Linked DNA regions of Lepisosteus oculatus. The protein of the gene in region 2 purifies or fractionates together with the protein of the main gene of each other region. This does not show direct contact. Links are inferred from orthologs where the notes say so. Each region holds a gene or a part of one and is shown on either strand. Other genes may lie near its edges. The genes, in order: mitfa, sumo1 and hypoxia-inducible factor 1-alpha.

The links.
Region 1: the proteins of sumo1 (region 2) and mitfa purify together in Homo sapiens (affinity purification with western blotting; 3 studies listed by BioGRID and IntAct, with this or other methods). This does not show direct contact. The link is inferred for Lepisosteus oculatus from reciprocal best matches to the Homo sapiens genes SUMO1 and MITF.
Region 3: the proteins of sumo1 (region 2) and hypoxia-inducible factor 1-alpha purify together in Homo sapiens (co-immunoprecipitation; 3 studies listed by BioGRID and IntAct, with this or other methods). This does not show direct contact. The link is inferred for Lepisosteus oculatus from reciprocal best matches to the Homo sapiens genes SUMO1 and HIF1A.

What each region holds. Positions count from the first base shown.
Region 1 is NC_090699.1:50,486,839-50,494,518, reverse strand, and holds the start of mitfa (melanocyte inducing transcription factor a), read right to left. Parts: upstream 3,004-7,680; 5' UTR 2,900-3,003; coding exon 2,796-2,899; intron 1-2,795. UniProt on the Homo sapiens protein: Transcription factor that acts as a master regulator of melanocyte survival and differentiation as well as melanosome biogenesis.
Region 2 is NC_090707.1:34,433,747-34,440,696, reverse strand, and holds the start of sumo1 (small ubiquitin-related modifier 1), read right to left. Parts: upstream 3,082-6,950; 5' UTR 2,939-3,081; coding exon 2,927-2,938; intron 1-2,926. Other genes in the region: nop58 (nucleolar protein 58), read left to right, coding at 5,101-5,145, 6,140-6,216, 6,582-6,634. UniProt on the Homo sapiens protein: Ubiquitin-like protein that can be covalently attached to proteins as a monomer or a lysine-linked polymer.
Region 3 is NC_090703.1:7,462,208-7,469,733, forward strand, and holds the start of hypoxia-inducible factor 1-alpha, read left to right. Parts: upstream 1-4,420; 5' UTR 4,421-4,711; coding exon 4,712-4,743; intron 4,744-7,526.

The DNA.
Region 1 (7,680 bases), on a different chromosome or scaffold from region 2:
TCTTAGCTGGTATTCGCACTCTAAAAAAAAGGCATGGCTATCGAGACACAGAAGTTTAAAATTAAAAGATGAATCCAAAAGTATTACCAGCATTCTGACCACAAGAAATTAGATTAAATCATTTGAATTAAAAAATGAATCAATTATCAATTCCAAGAACTCTAGTCATGTATGCCGGTGTATTTTTCCTGCACAGAGATGCAATATTCCAGTGCTGCTGTTATGTTATTCACTCTCTCATAGCCTGCTCTGTATTGATAGTTTGCTGGCTTTCCAAAGCCTGGTCTCTCATGGTTTTCAACTATTCTTCTCAGTAAAAGGGTGAAAGGTTACCTCTAGAACAAGGCCCTGACTCAGCTGGCTTTACATTGTTCAGCTGGAAGGAGAAAATGCTTTGGTTGCAACAAGAGCTCAATGCTTCACCTGTCCCAGCCTCTGCTATGAGGATGACAGAAAGCACTATGTATTTGTACAGAGTACAGATTTTTGGAAGCAGCATTTCTTTTTACATGTATCCTGTATTACTTCTAATATTAGGAGGTACATATCCCTAATAAGGTACTGCAGTGACTCTGAAATTACAAATACAACCATTTTTTTGCTTTGTTTTTCCTGTTACTTTTGAAATGTCCCCTAATTACTTGAAAAATGGGAATAGTTTTCTTTTAATGCCTATAGTTTTAATGACAATAAACAGAAAACAGAATTTTGAAAGCAAGTGGAACCGAACCAGAAAATTGCTTTAAAATAGTGTTTCACTTTTTCAAATTATGAAAAACTTTCAAAGGGCTTTTTTTTTGTAGCTCTAGGAAATGATTTAAGTCACTTGTAAGTCATGACATTTGTAAATGTATACTGTATGTAAACTATAAAGTGCAGTAATTAACTTTGAACTATTAAGTAATTAAACTGTAGTTATCTGTCAGCACAAGCATAAGTTAGGAGATATTGCAGAACTTTAGTATTACAATTAAGGTACTTTGCATTTTCAGAAAGAAGCTGTTACTTGAACAGAAAGCAAGACTATTAACTATACTGTACATGGCATAACTATGGATGAATCCTTTTTACTAGAATCTCTTAAGGCAGGTCAACCAGTCTTCAGTTATTTAGAGCACTTCACCTGTATATCGTTTACAAAATAATCCATCCATCTACTTAGATCTTTATCCAGTACAGGATGGCAGAAGACTTGGAGCCTCTCCAGACAAGCATCACAGGGTACACACAGATGCAGACACAGACACGCACACACTTGCACCAGGGCCTATTTTCTTAGAAGCTAATTAACCAACCAGTATGTTTTTGGACTGTGGGAGGAAACTGGAGCACCTGTAGTAAACCCATTTGAACATGGCGAGAACATACAAACTCCCTGCAGAAAGCAGTCCAGGAATTGAACCCAAGGCTGTAAGGCAGCCATGCTAACCAGTGCACCACTGTGCCGTGTTTAATTTCTAAAACAAATAAATATGACGGCTTGTTAAACAAAGTTACCACCCATTTCAGACAACAGTGCAACACTGAATTCTGACACAAAATATTGACTTTAGTTCCGTTAAGCAGAAGAGTAGAATATCTTATGAAACAAAGGACTGAATCCAATGTACAGTAAATAGGAAATATTTTCCTATTCTCACAATACGTTTTGAATGCCTGTACACGGATAGAAGGAATACTTTATTTGAAAAACTAAATAAAACGGTCAGAAAAATATTTAAATCAATTTACATTTTAATTGATTTTATCTATTTAAATGAACCTATCTTTTAAAAAAATCATTGTACCCTTATCTTCTGAAGTGCGATGTTAAAGACTAAAACAAAAACCATCCAAAACACGTCAGCACTCTCAAGTTTCCGACGTGCTCCTTAACGTATGCAATTCAAACTGTCAGGACATTCACCGTACTTACGGTAAAATGAATGTATTATTTTAGATAATTACTAACGAAGACATGGATTCATTAAAATGTCTACCTACAGCAGTTTAACCTATGTCCAAACAAAGAACGATCCCTAACTGCAAAGTCTCTGTTACATAACACGTCATATTAATCTGCAAAATTCTAGGGGAAATTTGCTCTGATGAATTATGATACTCTGTGTTCTTTCGTTTTCCACCGTATTGTTTCTTAAAGCTGCAGACTGATGCATACATTATAGCTCTTTGTTTTCCTTTCTTTAGTTGTTACTTCCTAATTTAAGGATCAATTCCTAATAGCTACTTCTTACTGACAAGACACAAGAAGTATAGAGCATTATTAAATCAATAAATGGATCCACGCTTAACGGTTTCTAGTTATCCCATTTTTGAAGTAAAAATGACTTATCATTAAATATCATTAAATATCTCTACAAGAAATCTAAAAAGCATAATTAAATCTTTAAAGCTTTATCATAACTTAAAATTAACAATATTTATAGAAGATACTGAGGAAGACAATACCCCAAATTAAAGCTTATATCTGTGTAAAAGAAACCCATAGAAAACCGATAGCAAACAAAACCCTCCCAGAAAACTCATGTAGACTGGAAGTAATATGATGACATAGTACTTAGAATATTATCTGTGTGGCAAAAAACGCAGTTAACATATGGAACACATTCATATGGGATTTTTCGGGATATGCAAAATAAGAAAAATACGAACAGTTATAAAAAATTAATGAATACTGCACTGTTACAAATACCGTATCGTCATAATTTTTATTATCATTGTTTTTAGGAGTTTTCGACTCAGGCAATTCCCTGCAAACTGCAAATGAGCTAGTTAACATCACATTACGCACTAACCTGTTTTTCAAAGGCTGGCTTTTCAGCTCGTAATACGTTTTAGGTTCTTCGTGAAATTCTTCACCGACATCGAAATCTGGTACTATCCCCGATTCTGACTGCATTGTGTCCGCTGTCAATGTCACGTTTTAACAAATACAGATGTTAAAAGAAAACGCAATAATGTTATCAGTGTCAAACGCACAGTGCCAGCCGCTGCGGTGGCAAACTGTCACTGTCCTCCCTACGCTTGATGGCGCTAGAATTTGTAGGACATGTAGTTTTTCTGAGTGTCGAATGAAGCATAATCGAATTGGAAGCCACGCTCTTAAGAACTACAAGTCCCAGGCGGCAAAGCTGCAGCGTTGGTCGCCAGCGTATGGTGTTTTCATAGTATGTCAATGTCAGCAGCTTTTCATTGGTCGCAGTAGCTATTGGAATTTCACCGTCTTCATTCCTTGGCCGCGTTCAGACCTTTGGGAAAAGACGTTCTGCAAGTGGAAATTGCTGTGTAATTGTTTATAGCCCCCTATGGAGCATTAGCTCCGGGTAATAAGGGTACAGCTCTTCAGAATCTGAAGTATCGACTGACGATTCTTCTGCGTTCATAAACTACACAGTATCAGTGATGGTGCCAAACGTGCGCATGCAGCCTTTTTTGTGATTCAGATAATTTCGTTGTCAACCCGAACTGTTACTCGGGTACTGTTACGGTAATTAACCCTTGTTGTCTGAGGCTGTCTAATATCGTGTTAGCAAAGATTTTAGCATTTTGCATTAATTCTACCATTTGGCAAATTCAGAAACCCTGCCATGCTATATGTGCTGAAAGTGACAACCCGTGAAACGGTGAAAATCGTCATCGTCATCATAATCGTTCTTATTGGGCTGTTTGTGTGCTTGGACTACCATTAAAGTTCAGTGAAACAGAACTTTCACATTCCAGTTTAAGTAGATTTATTTTCAGTCCTCTGAATCCACTGCTCGAAGTGGGTCATGACCGCAAAACTGCGACTATCCAAAGCTTTAAGAAGTTCTTTATCTTCACAAATAATTATCATCTAATTACTTCATATTATTTTCAGACACATTTCATTTAAAAAAGGTTTCGTGATTATAGGATTGTTACTTATTTCGTTGTGTAGCTGCTGGCGGTGATAATTTTCCAAGTGCAGCAGGAGAAAACAGTATAACCACGTAAATATTACGAATGTAATAATTGAAAAAATAAAAAATAGGATATTTTACAGAAGTTAAAAACTTCAAAAGATAATTGAAATCAAGCAGAATATACTGTACGATTCTCTGGAATAGCTTTCCTTAATGGACTTACTAGTATGATTTAAGTGAGGTCGTACTTTACTTGCATTGAATAAGCAAAGTATAGCTGTCCTGAATGCTTCTGTTTATCCAATATATTATAGCCAAGGGGGAAAGGTAAATGTTAAATCTAAATGTAAATACCTGAAAATGTATTTAACATAACGTGAATTGCTATACTCAAAACCCTGCCGCCTACTGGTTTGACACGAAAACCAACTTCGATCTTTATGGGTTCTCTTCGGGTCAGATCGTGTAATATTCTATCCCTGCCAGAGGGTGGCATTACAACGCTTCTAAAAGGACTTCGACCTTTACAACCGCAAAACTAGTTATGGAGTGTTTTATATCGGCATGAGAAGAAATTAATTATTGGACTTTTATACAATACACAATTTGGGTAGAGGGTCAGCATTAATTTATCAAGTGCGAAAAATAAAGTCGTTCTAACACTTTTGTTTAATAAGATGTTTTTTCGGGACAAGAAAGAGCATGGTGAAATGTGATCCATAAATATAAGAAATATTACTAATTAAAAGGATGAACTTCTTTTATTGAGAAGGTTAAATCCAAGATATAAAAAAATATTTTTAAATATCGTGTAGGCAGACATTTTATAGTAAAACGGGGATTATTTGGTGTTTTGTGAGGTGTTATAGCTCATACAATATTGCATGTTGTTCTCATCCTTCAGTAGATAAATGTTTTTACTGTGGGCATCGAGCCACCTTCAATTCCCATCTTCAATTTCTTTCTGTGGAAACGCTGCCTAAGCGTTGGAGCTTAACCAGGATGTTAAACAGAGTCAGTGTTTATTTTCAGATTAAGTGTGTTACACCAAGCCTCCAGCAGTCTTTTCACTAATTCCATTTATGCAGCTGAGCCCTTGCCTGGAATGCTTTGTCTACATGTCCATCTACAGTAGTCTAGTCCTTGACCAGTCTTTGGTCAGTTGTGTTGATTACTTAGCACATAAAACATCTTTTTGGATTGTACACAAGAAACTAATTGCTGCATGCTCCATAGTTATGGTTATTTTAGTGTGTGCAGTATCTCATAGGCTTCTTGTTATTGTTGTTAATAAACCTTTGAGTTCTTCTGCGTAGTTCTGAGTTCTGGGTTGTTCCTGAGTTCATGTTCAATTGTACCATTTTAACAAGGTCATGAAAAACTGAATGTGAAGGTAAAGAAATGTAGATTTCTTTATCCAAAGAGTTTAACAGGGAAATTTTAATTTCTCATTCTTCTCCGGTGTTCTGCTCTGTTAACGAGTATGTGCTAACATGTGTTCCACAAAAGAGTGAGTTTGCTGAACATTATCCCAACAGCTCACAGCCTTTGTAAGCTGTAATTAACTCTGCTGTCAATACAACAGCACAATGCGTGAAGGTGAATAGCTATCATTCAGAACAAAATGTATTGACAAACCACAAGCTTGTCATTACACAGCTTGTATGCTGAGTTGAACTGTTTTGAATTGAAAATGAACATCAGAAAGGATTTATTATGAAGCGGTTACATTTTAAGAAATACTCAGTTGTTTGAAGTGCATATGAAAGGTTACAAATAAGAGATGGTCTGTCAGTACAACTTGCTTGTTTGGGTGCTAGAAGTTTAATATTCTGTCTATCTATAAGATGTGCATATACAGTATATTGTTTCATTAGATACATATAATTAGCAATTTTATACATTTTTCACTTTTATACACTTTTTGGGTGAGACAAATTCACATAATAGTGATGCAGCTACAATCAATCAGGAGTTCAATTAAAAAGATATTTACTGTATGTTTTGCCATACTCAATAAAACACTTCTTTCTTTCAATTAAACCAATGGAAAACTCTGCAGAGTGTGCACCTTGAATATGGCCAATATTTAATTTTTTTAATTGCACACAATTCAAATCTGACTCTCAGAGAGTCTGATTAACTCTGGCTGATGTCCACTTTGATTCTGCAGTCCAATGTCTTTTGACATGACTGTGCAGTCCAGCCAGGCTAGAAACTCAGATTCAGAGCTCATAGACTTTCTACTGGGCTCTAAAGAGGCCATAAAGAGTAAAAAAAATCCATGGTGCCACCTTCAATCACATGACATGGGAGCTGGTTCCAGACTCCCATAATTCTTTGTTACCTGTTTTAAGTCTTAAAATGACCTTAAAAATAATTTCTGTTCACGTTCTTGGTCCTCGTGTTGCCACCTCTTTGTGTGAAGTGTATTGTATTGTTGGTTGTTTCTGTTTTTACACCAAGACACCATATTACACTCCTTGTACTTGGCAAATAAAATGTTTCTAATTCTGCTGGTGCCCAGTGATGACTTAGTCAATAGCATTCAGGAATTTGAAGACCTTGTTAAAGTTTACAGAATCCTCTCTGTTCAAATCCAAAAAGATTCAATTAATACAGTCCTTTGATTAAGCCAGGTCCAACTTTATTGTTGTAAATCTTTATACAATGTATTTCCAGCACATCAACCTCATTGTGTGATGTAATAAAGCATTAAGTGTTTCAATTAAATGTAAATTTAAATCAACAAAGACCAAGAAAAGAAGTGGAAAAAATTATTAGTGTTGCATGGGTTACATTTAATGTGTAATCTTGAACAAATTCTAAATTATCTTTATGCAATCTGTAAAATTACACCAGATGGATTCTTACAACATCCATCCATGTATTTTCTAACCTCTTCTTCCAATTCAGGGTTATCCCGGCAAGTAACAGGTGCAAGGCAGGGAACACACTGGACGTTTACAGTGTAATAGAGAGGAAAGTGTTCTGGTTAAGTTGACAATGCATCATGTCACTGCTGACTTACAAGAACCGGAAACTGTTGTCTACAGGGTCAGTCTATCTCAGACCTAATATACATCGGGAAATGTGCCGATTTAAAGTTAAAGGACTCCAGTAGTGTTTTTTAATTCACTCTTTTTTACCTAATTCCAAACAAGCTTGAGAAAGTCCCTGGAATATTGGTTAGCTTGGCTCTTCTCAGCTCCTGAAGCTTTAGTACAGAGAAACAAAACAATAGGTCCATACACCAAACCCAGGGGTACAGAGCTGATTTGGAAATCATAATCTGTAAAAGAAGGATACTGGGATTTGTAGGCTTGACTCCAATATAAGCAGTCAGAGCATGCTGCTAGGGGTGACCAGTGCTTGCATTGAAAATGCTTTACAATAGAGCTCAGGGGTCTTGCTTTGACTTTTCCACAGCCAAGTGAAGCCCAAGAAATCTCTTATGAAGTTTGTAAAAGCACCCCAGTGAGCCATTTGTAATCAGAAGTGATAAGAGAAGAAAAATTAAGGCATCTCCAGTATGCATGTATCATGCGTGTAGTCACCTCAGCTGGACCCTTTCTCTTTATTTATTGGTGTTAAGTCCTGTTGGTGTTATTGGTGTTAAGTTTTTTCTCATTAGCAGTGTTTTTCTGGGTCCTGAGACCTTAACGATATTCGTCCAATATTTTAAGAAAATGAATAAAACTTCAGTTTTCAAATAAACTAAACTTGTTTTTCACCAGGTATGATAAAGAAGACACCCTCTAATAATTGTCTAAGCATTGTAAAGTCAATTTCACTT
Region 2 (6,950 bases):
CTCTTTGATAATTAAAAATCCCAGGGCGTTTCTTGAGAAGAGTAGGTGTGTAACCCCGGTGTCCTGGCCAAATTTCCCATTGGCCCTTACCACTCATGGCCTCCTAATAATCCCCATCTATGAATTGGCTTCATTACTCTGCTCTCCTCCCCACTGATAGCTGATGTGTGGTGAGCGTTCTGGTGCACTATGGCTGCCGTCGCATCATCCAGGTGGGGCTGCACATTGGTGGTGGTGGAGGGGAGTCCCCATTTCCTGTAAAGCGCTTTGAGTGGAATGTCCAGAAAAGTGCTATATAAATGTAAGCAATTATTATTATTTTTAAATGTAAGTCTCAGATATCAGCAGAACAATCTCATTTCAACTGCACATCCCGCAATCGATCTGTAACACAACAGCAGCATCGGCTTGTAACGCAAAGTGGTCAAAACAGAAACAAAGTATTTACACAGCATACCTAGGATGGAAAAAAAATGAATAATGAAGGATACAAATGAAAATTGCTTTAATGAAAACATACAGGAAGTGTACGTAAGTTGTACACTGCCTCTGTAAAGAGCAGACCTGCGTTTAGAATTCTCCAGTTTGTCTGGGCCTGTGTCTCCTGTATATTGTCAAAAAGAACAAAGCTCTGTTCCCATCCTTGGTTTGTATGGATCTTTGAAAACAGCTGCCCCTACAATATTATGCCCGTGATGGTTAAAGTTCTACAAGATTAACCGTAAAATTCTTCGAAAACCCATTCCAGGAAACAATTCGTGTAATAGGTGGTATCCATAACAACTGCTTTGTACAGTTAAGATTATATTTGGTTCCATCTCTGTTTTTGTCTTCTGAATAAACAGCGCTGAGCTCACAGATGCACACAGAGAGGCCGATACAGAAAGTGTCTCATTCGGCGCTATACAACACTTAACTCAGTATTTAAAAGAGCATAAAACAAAGAAAGAATTTGCAGTGAGGTCCTAATGTACCTGAAATCTCTGATCCTCCATCCAGTTCGTAACCACTTTATCCGATACAGGGTCACAGGGGAGCTGGAGCCAATCAGGACTAACAACAGGCTAACAAGTCAGGGTTCACCCAGGAAAGCATGCCTATCCATCGCAGGGCACACACACACTCGCCCCTCGGGCCAATTAAACTGCGGGTACGTTCGTGGACTGTAAGAGCAACCAGAGGAAACCCACGTACACATAGGGAGGACATGCAAACTCCACACAGACAGCACCCCAGCTCCAGGAATTTAACCCACGGCCCCGGCGCTGCACCCAAATCTCTGATCAGAGAAACTACATTCATTGATAGTTACCTCACTGTTTTTTCGCGGCGCTACAAACACGCTTTTTCGTCAAATCCCTGCAAGTTTAAGGGCTGCGCCAAAGGGTTTCTTTGTTATCTACCCGTTTAAGGGAGTTCTAAACCTTCGAAGAGCTGTTGTCGTGACAATGTGGCAAACAAATTATTTTACTACCACTGCTGGATTTTGAGGTGGCTATAGGATATCAGTTCGGCTTCTACATCCCTCTACTTGTGTGTTTGGAAGTCAGCAACTTAAATATAAGCACTGCGGCTGGCAAAACAACCAACAAACATATGGGGTTTTGGGCTTTTGCGTTTTTTTGGGGTTCCCTGTCTTAATGTGTGAAGCTATAATATCACATGTATGTTTTACTAGTTAATTCTTGACTCGCGGCACATTTGTGTCGAGCCAATCCATGACAGAATTGCCAATAATCTTAACAGACAGGCTCAACTTTACACTGTAGGCCTCGTCTTTGTGTCCACACAAACTTCAGAAATAATTCCTTTTTTTCCCCCACTCATTATCCCAGTGTCTTGCCATTAAAGCATCTATCAGATCTGGGGTGATGGATTGCAGCCTTCTTTAAGATCCTTTCCACTTGATCTCTTTAATTGAGTTAACTCTTTCTGAAGCTCAAAAGCAAGAATCGTATAGAGATGCAGACCTTTTGCTGAACTGCGGTCCTATGGGACCATACAACACAACACTCTCATGGCCCAAGTTCACCATAACTGCAGGCTCTACTCATGTAAGGAAGGCAGAGGCAAATATATGCAAAGGCAAGTAGGAAGCCATTTCTGCTGCTTTCTACAAATCCCAGAGTTGTAGAGGCCAACAGACATACGTTTATTGTATCTATTATATCAAGCAATATGGTGGTTTTAGTGCCCTTTTTCTCATCTTAAAAGACAATCATAAAAATATGAAAACATAAAAATGTTCAAACTACTATCATCCATCACTGTACTACCGCTTATGTTAAATACAACTCCTTAAGCAGTTACTTGTGTCTCGACACCTATTTTAAGGACTCGATGTGCTTTCCTGCCCTTTTATTACGTTGCGAAGAACAAAATCTACTGTTCAGCTTCGGAAGGAAATTAACTTCACTTAAGTAACAAAAACCTTCATTTCAACTCCGAACTACAACAATCCATTTATTTTCAGTTTCACTCCCGACAGTACCAGTGGGCCACGATCGCTTTTCACTGAATACCGAAGAGTCCTAAAAAACAATCCCTACACATTTGTTAATTTTTCGGCAAAACAAATGCATGCACTGTACCGAAAGACAACCCAGCCTTCCCCACTCTCGATTTTTTTAAAGATTATTTCGTTTAAATTCTGAGACATCAAGAACAGTACCCCTAAGCACATCGGCGCTGTAAATTGCAGATATCTCAACTCCTCTTGAACAGACCCGTTAGTTTCTGACAAAGTTTTAAACGCCCATTCCATTACTGGTTAATATACTGTATTTTTTTCATAAAAGTAAAATATAATTATTTATTATTCAGGCTGTATCTTGATTCACAGTACACGCACGCTATGCGCCCGAAAACACCGAGTCTGATCAGCTAATATAGATGTTTAGTTCCTATACACAGATCACAGACTTACCGTATCAGACATGCTTGCTTCTGTTTTTCCCTGTGACTCTTACAACTAAATCTTTGATATTTTATGATGATGTTATTTAGTATTAAGCGCTCTTCTCTTTCCTACAATCCCCCCACAAAAACACAGACACTGACCTCATTGGAATCGGGGAGGGACTTCCTCGGGAAGTGACGTCATTTGGTCGTGTAGCCAAAGAGAAAACAATTTTGTTTTTAAAATGTGCTTTTCGGATGGTCCTCTTCGTACATCCTGCTTACAGGGAGACCCACGTTGGCAAAGGTACCGGGTCTGATTAAGATTCATCCCAGTGAAAATAATGAGGACGCATATATTCTTTGAAGAGCTCTGTTTTATAAAGTTAGCTCATGCCCTATTCGTGAAAGCTTAGAAGACAATATAAAACATGTTTGGAAAATTACAGCACTTTACTATAGGATGGACGTGTAGTATGAGTCTATAGATTAATATAACAACTAAAATAACATTTTGTTTATTTGAATGATAATATAATTTATATTTTATAACATCTATAATTTGGGAAATTCTTAACTAATGTACAGTATGTGCTGTAACATTACTATAGTATGGACTTTATATATATATATTTGTGATATGGTTAAATATTAGAGTGAAATATTATGGTATACACTGCGAGGTGTACTGAAATACTATACTGTAGAGCTACAATAGTACTTACCAATATAGTATCTAGTAGAACCAATATAGTATCTACTATATACGTTCAGTAGTCTAATATTATATTAATACATTACACAAGTTACCACCACCACCAATGTGCAGCATCCACCTGGATGATGCGATGGCAGCCATAGGGCACCAGTACACTCACCACACATCAGCTCTCAGTGGGGAGGAGAGCAGAGTGATGAAGCCAATTCATAGATGGGGATTATTAGGAGGCCATGATTGGTAAGGGCCAATGGGAAATTTGGCCAGGACGCTGGGGTTACACCCCCTACTCTTTTCGAGAAACGCCCTGGCATATTTAATGACCACAGAGAGTCAGGAACTCGGTTTTACGTCTCATCCTAAGGTTCTCATATCGAACGTCTTTTGGTTGTGTGATCTGTGCCTGAAATCTGCTTTCTTCAGCTCATACTGTAAATGTTCTACCTGAGACTGTGATGACCAATGCTGAATACCGTGTTCTCTTAAGGACTGGTGTTTATTATAGGCCGGGTCTTGTTTTCCTATGGGAAAAATCATCCATCCATTACACCAGTCAACCACAGGGCAGACAGACACACCAGGGTCAATCTTCCCAGAAGCCATTTAACCTAACAGTATGTCTTTGAACTGTAGGAGGAAAGAAGAGCACCCAGAGGTAGAACTGAGCACAGAGATAGCAGCCCAGGAATTGAACCCCAGCACTGTGAGACTGCTAACCACTGCACCAAAGTGCATCCCTTAAATACAGTATGTCTGTATAAGAACTTTAAAATAAGAACTGTTGATCAATGCCAATGTAGTAAATTAATAGTATAAATGAATACACTTGTACAGTGTCAAGACTTAGAGCCGTGAGTGTCTCTTTCTTATCATTATACAAAAAACATTCAGCATCAGAAGACTAAAAGTTCTTCTTTTATTTATTCCCTTAAATAAACGTCCTTGTCTAATGCAACTGACATTTTTTGCGTGAGCTGAAGGCTTGATATAACACAACCGCGTGTGACGTATTTTCGAAATAAGTATGCCATCAAAACGCTTTGACTGGATAGCCAAAGCACAATGTCCGTCCATCCAATGTCAAATTTATTTGTGATTATTTGTGATATATTCACGGGTTTTTTGTATCTGATAAGCAAAAAGGTGCGAGGCGAGACAGGCAAAAGTGTATTGTCGGATCTTTCTTGATGAGCACCCATTACATTGAAACCATTTTAAAACACTCAATGGGCCTTCGGAAAGACTCGGAAAGGTTCGGAAACACTCGAGCGTGCCTCCTGGGTCTCGTCTCCGGTTCCTAACACAGCCCTTCCGTTTCCGGTGTGCGGCTCCGCCCCCGCGCGCAGGCGCCTGGAGTGCGCAGTCTCGGGATCCTACACCGCGTGGAGGGTCTCTGCAGAAGCCCGTGGTGGAGGAGCGTGCCGATCCTAAGTAAAGGAAAAATCCACGTTTAGAGGCTGGAAAACGTCCTTAGATGATCGAAGATGTTGGTGCTGTTCGAGACCGCCGCTGGCTATGCAATTTTTAAGGTAAGGAAAAATAAATGGGTGGGGGCTTCAGTAATTTGAACTAAGGAGAGCAAAGGGACCATCTTGTGCTACCGTGTGCGTGTCCTTTTTGCCCGCGTTGCCGATATGTTCATTCAAATAAAAGTGTTTTAAGGGAAATTAAAATGATCTGGGCATGAATGGTGGTACGCGGTGATCTTGGTGTGCGAAATTGTCTACGAAAAGGTGTAGGGGAAGAAGTTTGGAGTGCGGGCCCGTCGCTCTCTGCTACCACGTTGCGTGCAGACTGGCCACATGGGTTACATGTAACTTGGCATTAGGTCGAGGACTTTTAACTTTCATGCTTTCCAAATCTGATTGCTCGATCTTGCAGAAATCGGAATGAAAACAGCCTGCTGAGACGAGTAGAGAGAGAATCTGAAAATCGCAGCTAATAAACCTTTTTTTGAAAGGTTTCAGAATTCTGGGCGCATGAAAGAAACGATCGTCCACTTTTTATATATATATTTAGCGAAACGCTAAACAGTTTCAGAAAAGTATCGTTAGATGGTTAGAGGTGTATTGCATTGGAACAACTTTTGGCTCGGCGTGTTTGATCTCAATATGATCTCTAACGCAGGGCACGATTTCACGTTGTGTTTTTTTCTTGTTAAACTTTGCTGATGCAACAAGAAAAAGACGTTAATTCCAGGGTGAAAAGTATGAGGGAAAATGTAGTTCTGCATTTACACAAAATGTTACAAAGCAGGTAAAGAGACGTTCGTTCTGTTGGCTTGACGGGGAATAGGTGCAGCTACATTGGGGAACTTTATTGAACGCTCAGTGGGAGTGGGAGTTGATATATCTGTCTTGATGGAATGGTCGAAGTCAAAATCGTTTAATAAGAAAATGTCGAATAAGACAACCGGTAAGGATAAGCAGTGTAGCCCAAGATCTGTTTAAAAATGAGTTAATCCATAGTGAGTCGACAGGCGACTCTTTTTAGTGTTTCTAACCCCTTAAACTTTTTTTTCAGGTTCTCAATGAGAAAAAACTCCAGGAGGTGGACAAATTGTGGGAAGAATTCCAGACTCCAGAAAGAGCAAATAAAATGTAAATACATTTTCATTTTGTGGTTTTTTTAAACGTTTAAAGGCTTTTCTTTTACCTTGTAGGTATGTTACCAACCTCTAGGATTGAAATCAACCCTTCTGTATAAATCTTCAACTTCCCAGAAACTAGACTAAGCTTTTATTTAAGTGGAAAACCTACAGTATGCATACTTTGGACAGAATTGTATAAAACAAGTCATTTTATTTAATCTGATTGACAGAGTACTGTGTTAGGCTGGTGACAATTCCTGTACAGATTAAACAGTCTGCTCTGGATATGTGTTATTTTATCAAGTGTTTTGAATACGCTTAAGTCAGTTCTTTTTTTCTGATTGTTTGATCTGAATTTAATCTTTCTTTTGCCAGAGTGAAACTCAAACACTTTGAAAAATTCCAGGACACCACAGAAGCACTGGCAGGTACGATGTTTTTTGGGGTTCAATTTAAGAATTTAGTGGTATCCCAAACAGTCCTGCACTTCCATGTATGTGGTTCTTCGCGTCTCCTGATGCGAAAAGTTTTTGGTTTTATTGCTTCCTGTGCTTGTACGTGAACATACAAAAAAGGTTTTTGTGAGAAACTGTTTTTATTCTGTTAGTTTAATACACAGATATTGTCATATCCTTAGTTAGTTCACCCCTAACTTTTACAGTTATGTTCTGTGAGAGCCGTTGACAACCAGTACTCAAACAAAAAAAGGAAACCTGTAAAAAAATGCAGTTAAGGCCTACATGG
Region 3 (7,526 bases), on a different chromosome or scaffold from region 2:
ATCACAATTAACATATTTAAGGTAATATGGAAGTTTAGCTGTATTCGCATATAATATTACTACTACAAATAATAATAATAATAATAATAATAATAATAATAGGTTGTGTGATTTCAACATTTTTTCTGCAATATCTTTGGTAACACAATAGTGGACTATTGGCTTTTCAGCCACAGTCCCTTCAAGAAAAATCATGCAGTAAATACAGGAAGGGAATCATACAAGTACAGAACTGTAAATTCCCTTCACTTCAGTTTTTCTGTCTGAGTTTTATTGTGCTAATATACTTAAGACCAAAATGATGAAATGACAGGAACATTTTAGTCTTGTGATAATCCTCTTTTGCCCTGGCAATTTGCTAGCGGTGTTTGGGGGATTTGAAATATCAGAATCTTCCTATTCTGCGGAGCAGGCTTAAGAGCTGAACAGCAGTTAGTGGACCGATAACTTCAAGCTCACTTTTCATAAAGGAAAGGAAAGGCTTCATGTTAAATCTGGGACACTGGAAAAAACCAACCAGCTTCAATATGTTTTAACGTTTTAATACCTCTCAGGGCTTTTAAAATCCAGTATTCACCAGCAGACTTCCTGCTCCTGTTGGGTGGACTTGATATGAGAGCTGATAATTGAGCAACCCTTGATAAATAAGATGTCTTTTGCAGGCATTGTTTTGACAACATGAAAGAGCAGGAATTCATTCATGATTTATTCCCCACACAAAGTTGCAGAGAGTTTGGCTCAGATGATAACGTGTTGAGAAATCCAAACTATTGCCAGTAATCCTATCACTTCACTTGGCAGTTAGTGAAAGGGACTTTAAAACAAAGAAACCAGGCCTCTCAAGGGGACTTTTCATAGAACCATTGGAAGCACTACTTTCTGACCTCTGTTTTTAGCAGTGAGCACTGGAACGTTTGAAAACCCAAAAGCATTTTTAGACTCCTTTTTTTTTCCACCTCAACTTTGCCTGTGCTGAGTAATAGCTGGGCTTGTGGCAGGATCTAAATTTTAACCCCTAACTCTGGCCTCACCAGCCTCGGATGATGCATGCTCATGAGACTCCCCCCCTCCTCCCACACGCTGCGGTGTCCTTCAGACCGGGGGGCAGAGAGGGGCTGTTTTCCATGCAGGTGCTCACTTCGGGCCAGCAGCTCCCGAATGACAGGGACGCCATCGACAGGGAGCCAGGCAGGGAGCGAACGGCCCCACGCAGAGTAACACCGATTCCGCCCCCCCCCGACTGCGCTGCTCTCGGTGTCGCTGGCCCAGAGCCCAGCTCCAAACAAGACTGGAGACGCAGACAGCTCGGATTCCTCTATTGACCCTGAGGAAAATCAATAGGCAGACTGTGGACTGAGAAATTCAATACCTTTCTGCCTTCTCACCCCCTCCCACATGGATTATATATTTTTTTCTGGAAATATTAATGACTTGGCAAACAGCTTATTTGTTCTGAACTGCATGAAAGGTGCCTAATTCTGATGATCTTACTTTGGGAATGCTCCAGCGCAACTTGAGGAGCCAAGAAGGTACTGCAGTGGTTGGCAGAGTTAGTTATAACGTACGTGTTTAGATTCCTCTCTCTATAAAAAAAAAATGCTCTCTCTTCACAGAAACGTCCATGTGGGACTTCACATTTTTTCCGTGCTCTGTAAGTGCCAGGCTGCGCAGTGTGTCCCACGCACGGCTGACACGTTCCTCTCCTCAGGGAAGAGTTCACTTTCCACGACAGGCAGACTTTCCTTAAGATGCAAGGAGAGGCTCAAAGTCACTGCCTTCCTATTCTACCGCAGGCCATGCAGTGAACAGGCTAGCACCCATCTGCTCTGCATTACAGACTGAAGCGGATATTTTAAACCATGGGGAGTGCTTATGTTCGTCTTGATTTCAATGAACACATAAAGTTAAAGATCACCTGTTGCTATTTTAAATTAATTGCAATCAAAGTGAGTAGATACTTTGGTCTATTTAGATAAGTGTAGAGGAGACACATATTTTGTACAATACCAAGTACTGAGAACTCTGCACAGAAGTAGTCCAGCATGTTTGCGATCAATTCGACAGTGCTCACAATATTCACGCGATATAATTCCTTTCACACATTGTTAAGAGTTCATCTTTCCACAAAACAACCTAAAAATCCCGTTTCGCTGCTGTTTTTCCGGAACAAACAGAACAGAATGAGCGGGCGGTTTACATACACCTGGGCTTATCAGGGGAAACATTACATTCACAGAGTCAGACTGTTTTCACAGAAGAAAGGCTGAACGTCTGGAAAATACTATCAAACCTGTTGGATGAAATGTGACCCATGAAGAAAGGAGATTTGATTATTTCTGTAGGGAAATGCATGTATTCTCAGAGGTTTGGGCGAATTATTTTATCATTTTTATATTTGGATATATAACCTAAAAATAACAGGTCAGTGTATATATAGATCTCCTAATGCCTTCTTTCAAAGGCAATGCTACTATCTCCATCCATTTTCTAAACGCTCCATCCACCACAGGGCTGTGGAGCAGAATGACTCTATCCTGGCAAGCTCAGACACAGGCCAGGACGGTGCCAGTCCATCGCAGGGCAGACACACAGACACAAATGCACATCAGGGCCACTTTTTTCCCATAAGCCAATTAACCTGCCAGTATCCCTTCGAGTGACCTGAGTACTGGTGAGACCCCACACAAAACCAGGAGAACATACAAACTCCAAGCAAGCAGCACCCCCAGATCCGGGAATCGAACCCAGGGCCCAGCCGCTCAAAGGGAGCAATACAAACCGAGCCACCGTGCCGCTCACTAGCACTTCTGTCACCTCGTGCACCCAAGTCACTGCAGCTCCCCGCCGTGCTGAAGAGAGACAGGGAAGTGAGCGGAGTTAGTGGCACCATGGGGCAGAGTGGTGGCCCTCTGGCTAAGGATCTGCTCCTGTTGCTGGAAGGTTGCTAGTTCAAATTCCATGGCTGGCAGAGGAATCCTACTCCGGTGGGTCCCTAAGCAAGGCCCTTAACCCCAGCTGCTCCAGGGGTGCTGTATAAATGGCTGCCCCTGTGCTCTGACTCCAAGCTTCTCTCTCCCCACCTGTGTGTCTCATGGAGAGCAAGCTGAGGTATGTGAAAGGACAAATTCCTAATGTAAGAAATTGTATATGGCCAATAAAGTGATCTAATCTTATCCTTTATGAATGTGTTTGGGGACCTGTGTCACAAATGGAGCTAGTCTGCCGGGCAGGCCTCGTGCTCCATGCTCTGTCCTCAGCAGGGCAGGTCTAAGGCTAACCAAATTCCACAAGCTGCATACACGACACACCGCTCACTGACGCTGACTGGCAGCTAAACCCGTAAGGAGATTTCAAACAAAGCTAATTAGGGAGCCCAAAAAGACTGATAGCGGCAGTCACATGGCCTCTTCATTCATAATACTTGTGTCTGTGTGTGTGAGAGCAGGGGGGTTAAATGTACCTGTATTCATTTATTACTTCCTACTATGTTTTGTACCTGTATTCATTTATTACTTCCTACTCACTATGTTTTAATTTTGGAAGCGTTGTTACTTTAACCTGTCTCATAATTCCAAGCATTGTTTTCAATTGTTACTTGCCGCAGACTTTTGCATTTGTCGGTCATGTCGGTAGAACACGTTTTAAGGCAAAGTAATCTTAGAGTATCTGTCTTTGGCTTCATATACTCCTAACCTAATGTAACATTAATTGTCAGGACCCCAGCAGATTTAATGCGATGCAATGTAATTTAATTCCCGAACACTATATTCCCGAGCATTCCTGAGGGCAATTTTAATCTCAAGCATGCACTCAATTCAAAGAGTAAAACAGCCAAAAACTACAAAATCAAAACAAAAACAAGATGCCGGTCAGACTGCAGGTGACATCCTGACTTTAATATTTTATCAGACTTCGATATAATATAATAGTACAGTTATTTCACCCTCAAAGGTATATTTATTAAGCAGATTTATTAGAATGTTTTAGTGTTATGAATGCGACTTAAATTGTTTTTTATGGGCTTCAGGTCTGAATGAACTGCTTTTTTCCGACCAGTATCTGTACTTAAAAAAAAAACATTTTAAAAATATGACGTTTAAAATATTAAGAAATGACAAAAGGTGTGTACGGCATTTGCCTACAAGACGTTCAAATGTTATGAAATAATGTCATTTTATCAACAGGTTAATAACATCTTTTAACTGTTGCCAATGTGTATATATATATACGTTTACCGAAGGGTTAATCATCTTCATCTTTAAATCAAACCACGGAATCACTTCGGCCTGACGCAACCAGCGACGTCCCCTGCCACATTTCTGTTTCGGGGAACGCGCACGCATTTTACCTGAATTTTGATCTCCGGGAGGCTCGGCCGGGGCGTGCGCGGCCCCGTCCTGGAGGCATGTGACTGCGCGCCCCCGAGAAGGAGCGAGTACAAACTACAGTGTAAGGAGCATCTCGGACGCGGCGGAGAGCTTGGACCGTTTCTCCTGAACGAATCGCACACACCGGCTCGAAACAGATGTTGTGACCTTCAGGCACCTGGAGGTTTGACCTCTTGCTACCACACACGTCAAAAATAGTTCTTAAAGTCAGGGCACCTTGGTTCGTTTCGTCTTCCTGTTGGATTATAAACCGTCTTTTCACTCTCGGGCCTGGGGGAACTCTTACTGTTTGGGAGATCCTAGCTGACGTCTTTCATGCGATAATGGACACGGTCGTAGTCACAGAAAAAAAGAGGTGAGTTTGAGCTTTCTTGTTGTTCACGGGAGGGGGGTTGTGTCGTTTAAACTGGCCCCTGGCTCCGTCCCCGCTGTTTTCATGTGCTGTGGAGAATTTGCTCCCCATTTTTGTGTGTGTATTTTGTCGTATGAATCATTTCTTGGCCGTGGCCACGTCGCCATTTTGTCTGAGTGTTTGGTATGGCCGCGCAGGACAGTTCTGGTGTGATTTCGTTAAGGAGAGGGGGGGACACTTTGATTGATTCGGGACACTTGTTTGATATATCTCGTTTTCCTGCAGCCGGGGGCTGCCTGTGAGGCGAGGCGCGGTTTGTAGCCCCCCTCGTCCTCCTCAAACACGGAGGGGAGATCGTTGCAGGAAGGAAATCCCGAAGTTGTGCGCTAAGTAGTTGCCTGGCCCCTTGACGTTGTGCTGCATTTCAGCCGCCGGTTTCCCGAAGAATCAGAAATAAAAGTGAGACAGACGTCGCTTGGGAACTCGATAAGAATGTCAGATGATTTGCTGTGCGGGCGATGCTTATTAATACTGCATGGGCGCTGGGTCGATGGGGGAAAGGCGACCGGCTGAAGAGATGAATGGAGGCTTTGGTGGTTTGAGCCCAGGGTCTTCGGGACGTGTTCCCCACGCCAGCCCCGGGGAAATGAACCAATTTTCGTCGGGTCTTTTACACCTTTCGCGAATCCGTGCGCGATCAGGCTTTGGGGCTGTCTTGGCACTCGCGGAGTTCACTGCGTGTGTGGGTTTTCGGGGGTCCCTCGGGGATATGGAGCCCAGGATTTTGGAAACAACCATGTTATTAGTGTTGTGATTGAAAATGGGAACCCTCCTCTTTCGTGTGCCGGCTTGAGGAGCTCTCTCGGCCAGTTCTTCATGGTGGCCCGGAGTGAGTGGAGAGCGGGCTGGCAAGTCGGACCTTACAGCGCAGTTACTTCCCGATAATGATCTCTTTCCATCTCTTGTTTTGCCAGCGATGGGGGATGAGTAGGGCAACAACAACAAAGAAGGTGTTGTGTACAGGTAGACGGTTTTATGAAGATGTTGTAAGACCTTTTGTTGTTTTGAAACGAGATATTTTTAGACATTCTTCCCTGTAGGAAGAGGGGTTGTCATATTGCCATTCCAAAAAAAAAGAGCCTAAAGAAATGAGCCCAAAAAAATGAACAGTGCGTTTGTTTTTTTTTTGCTTCAATGCTTCAATGCTTGATAGGTGGTGAGCGTTGCTGGTAACAAGGCTTGAAAAAAAGACTGGTGTTTCTGAGAAAGAAATTGTCACTTCTGCTCTTAGCGTATAGATAAGAGGCAAGTGTCTTTGCGTCACAAATATAGCCAAGAGGCTCGGTTTGGTCACCCTTCCAGCTTGTAACAAAGCGGTTTAGGTGGGAAATAAGAGTTTTGAGTTTTGTTTTTAATGGCAAGATGGAAAACTGGTAACTGTTTTCTGTCGGGGCAAGTAAATCTTATTCCCAAACTTTCCCGAGTAAGTTACAACAGCTGACTGCATGGAGCAATATCTATCATGGAAATACTTAGTTCTTTCTTGATAGCAACGAGCTAAATTTCGAGCAGGCGATGAAAACGGCTCGTTTTTTTACCTTGCCTCATATTTTGAAACCAAAGATTTTATTCCAGGCAGGCGTAGTAGTAATCTCAGACGGAAATAGGCGAGTGAGTGTTTTGGATATTGCATAAGTTTCACGGAACAGTGTGGTGTTTGTACAGTTTGTGCTGATGTCCCAATAAAGTAGTAAGAAAGTGAAGGTATTGAGTGTTTATGCTGCCACTAGGAAAAAAACTTGTTAGAGACACTGGCAAAAGAGCTTGTATTTCCGCAGTGCATCAAACCCTGATATCATGATATATGCATGTAGTATTAACAGATCAGGGGTTTTATCAGCTTCTGGCTTTGGAAAAACAATAGTTTATTGATGACAAAATTAATGGAACAACATAGAGCAGAAAATGAAATTCTCTGACTTAAAAGTCTTTATGAGCAACAAGGACTATAGTTACAGGGACACAAGAGCTACAGTTCCCAGACTTTTGTCTGAAAATTCATAACCTCTGGCAGAACATCATGTAGAACAACTTCTTACATTTGCCTGAAAATATTCTTGTCCATTGCAACATTAAGTAGGCCTACATGCAGTGTACAGATACCAAAAATGGAAATGCAGCATTGGCTTGATTCTCCTCAGATTTTCCCTAGCTTTCGACTCACTAACCCACTATCAGTCATGTTTCTAATTCTTGAGAGTACTTTGTCATGAGCAGCACCATCTGGAACCATTCTGCAGATGCGTAGGCGTCTCTTGTGTTCAGTCCATTTTCCCAAGACCCTTCCCATCAAAGGGTGTTGAGTCCGCCGTGTGTACAGGGCTGACGCAGTGCTCCAGCTGAAGCCTTGGTCCACCACTTCACATTGGCCTGGTTAAGAACCCTTCCTTTGGCTTTGTCTTAAATTCTGGTTGGGAATCCCTTGCACCTATTCACCTGAGAAATGTGGTAAAAACAAACCCAACCAAGAACCAGTTTGTTTTCCTATCGGGTTCAAAGAAACTATGGCTTCTTGCTGATAGCAAGAAGAAATAAGTTATAAGACATCATGACTTCACTTAATACAGTATTTGTTTTACTATAGTATATAACTAATTTATATCTGATTTCTCAAATGTGTGTTACCTTGTGTTCTGAAGTTCATGTTTATAATATAGTATTTACAATACCGTTGTGGCTAAGTGAATCTAGTATGCTCATCTAAATTAAGCCTAAGTTGTGTTTGG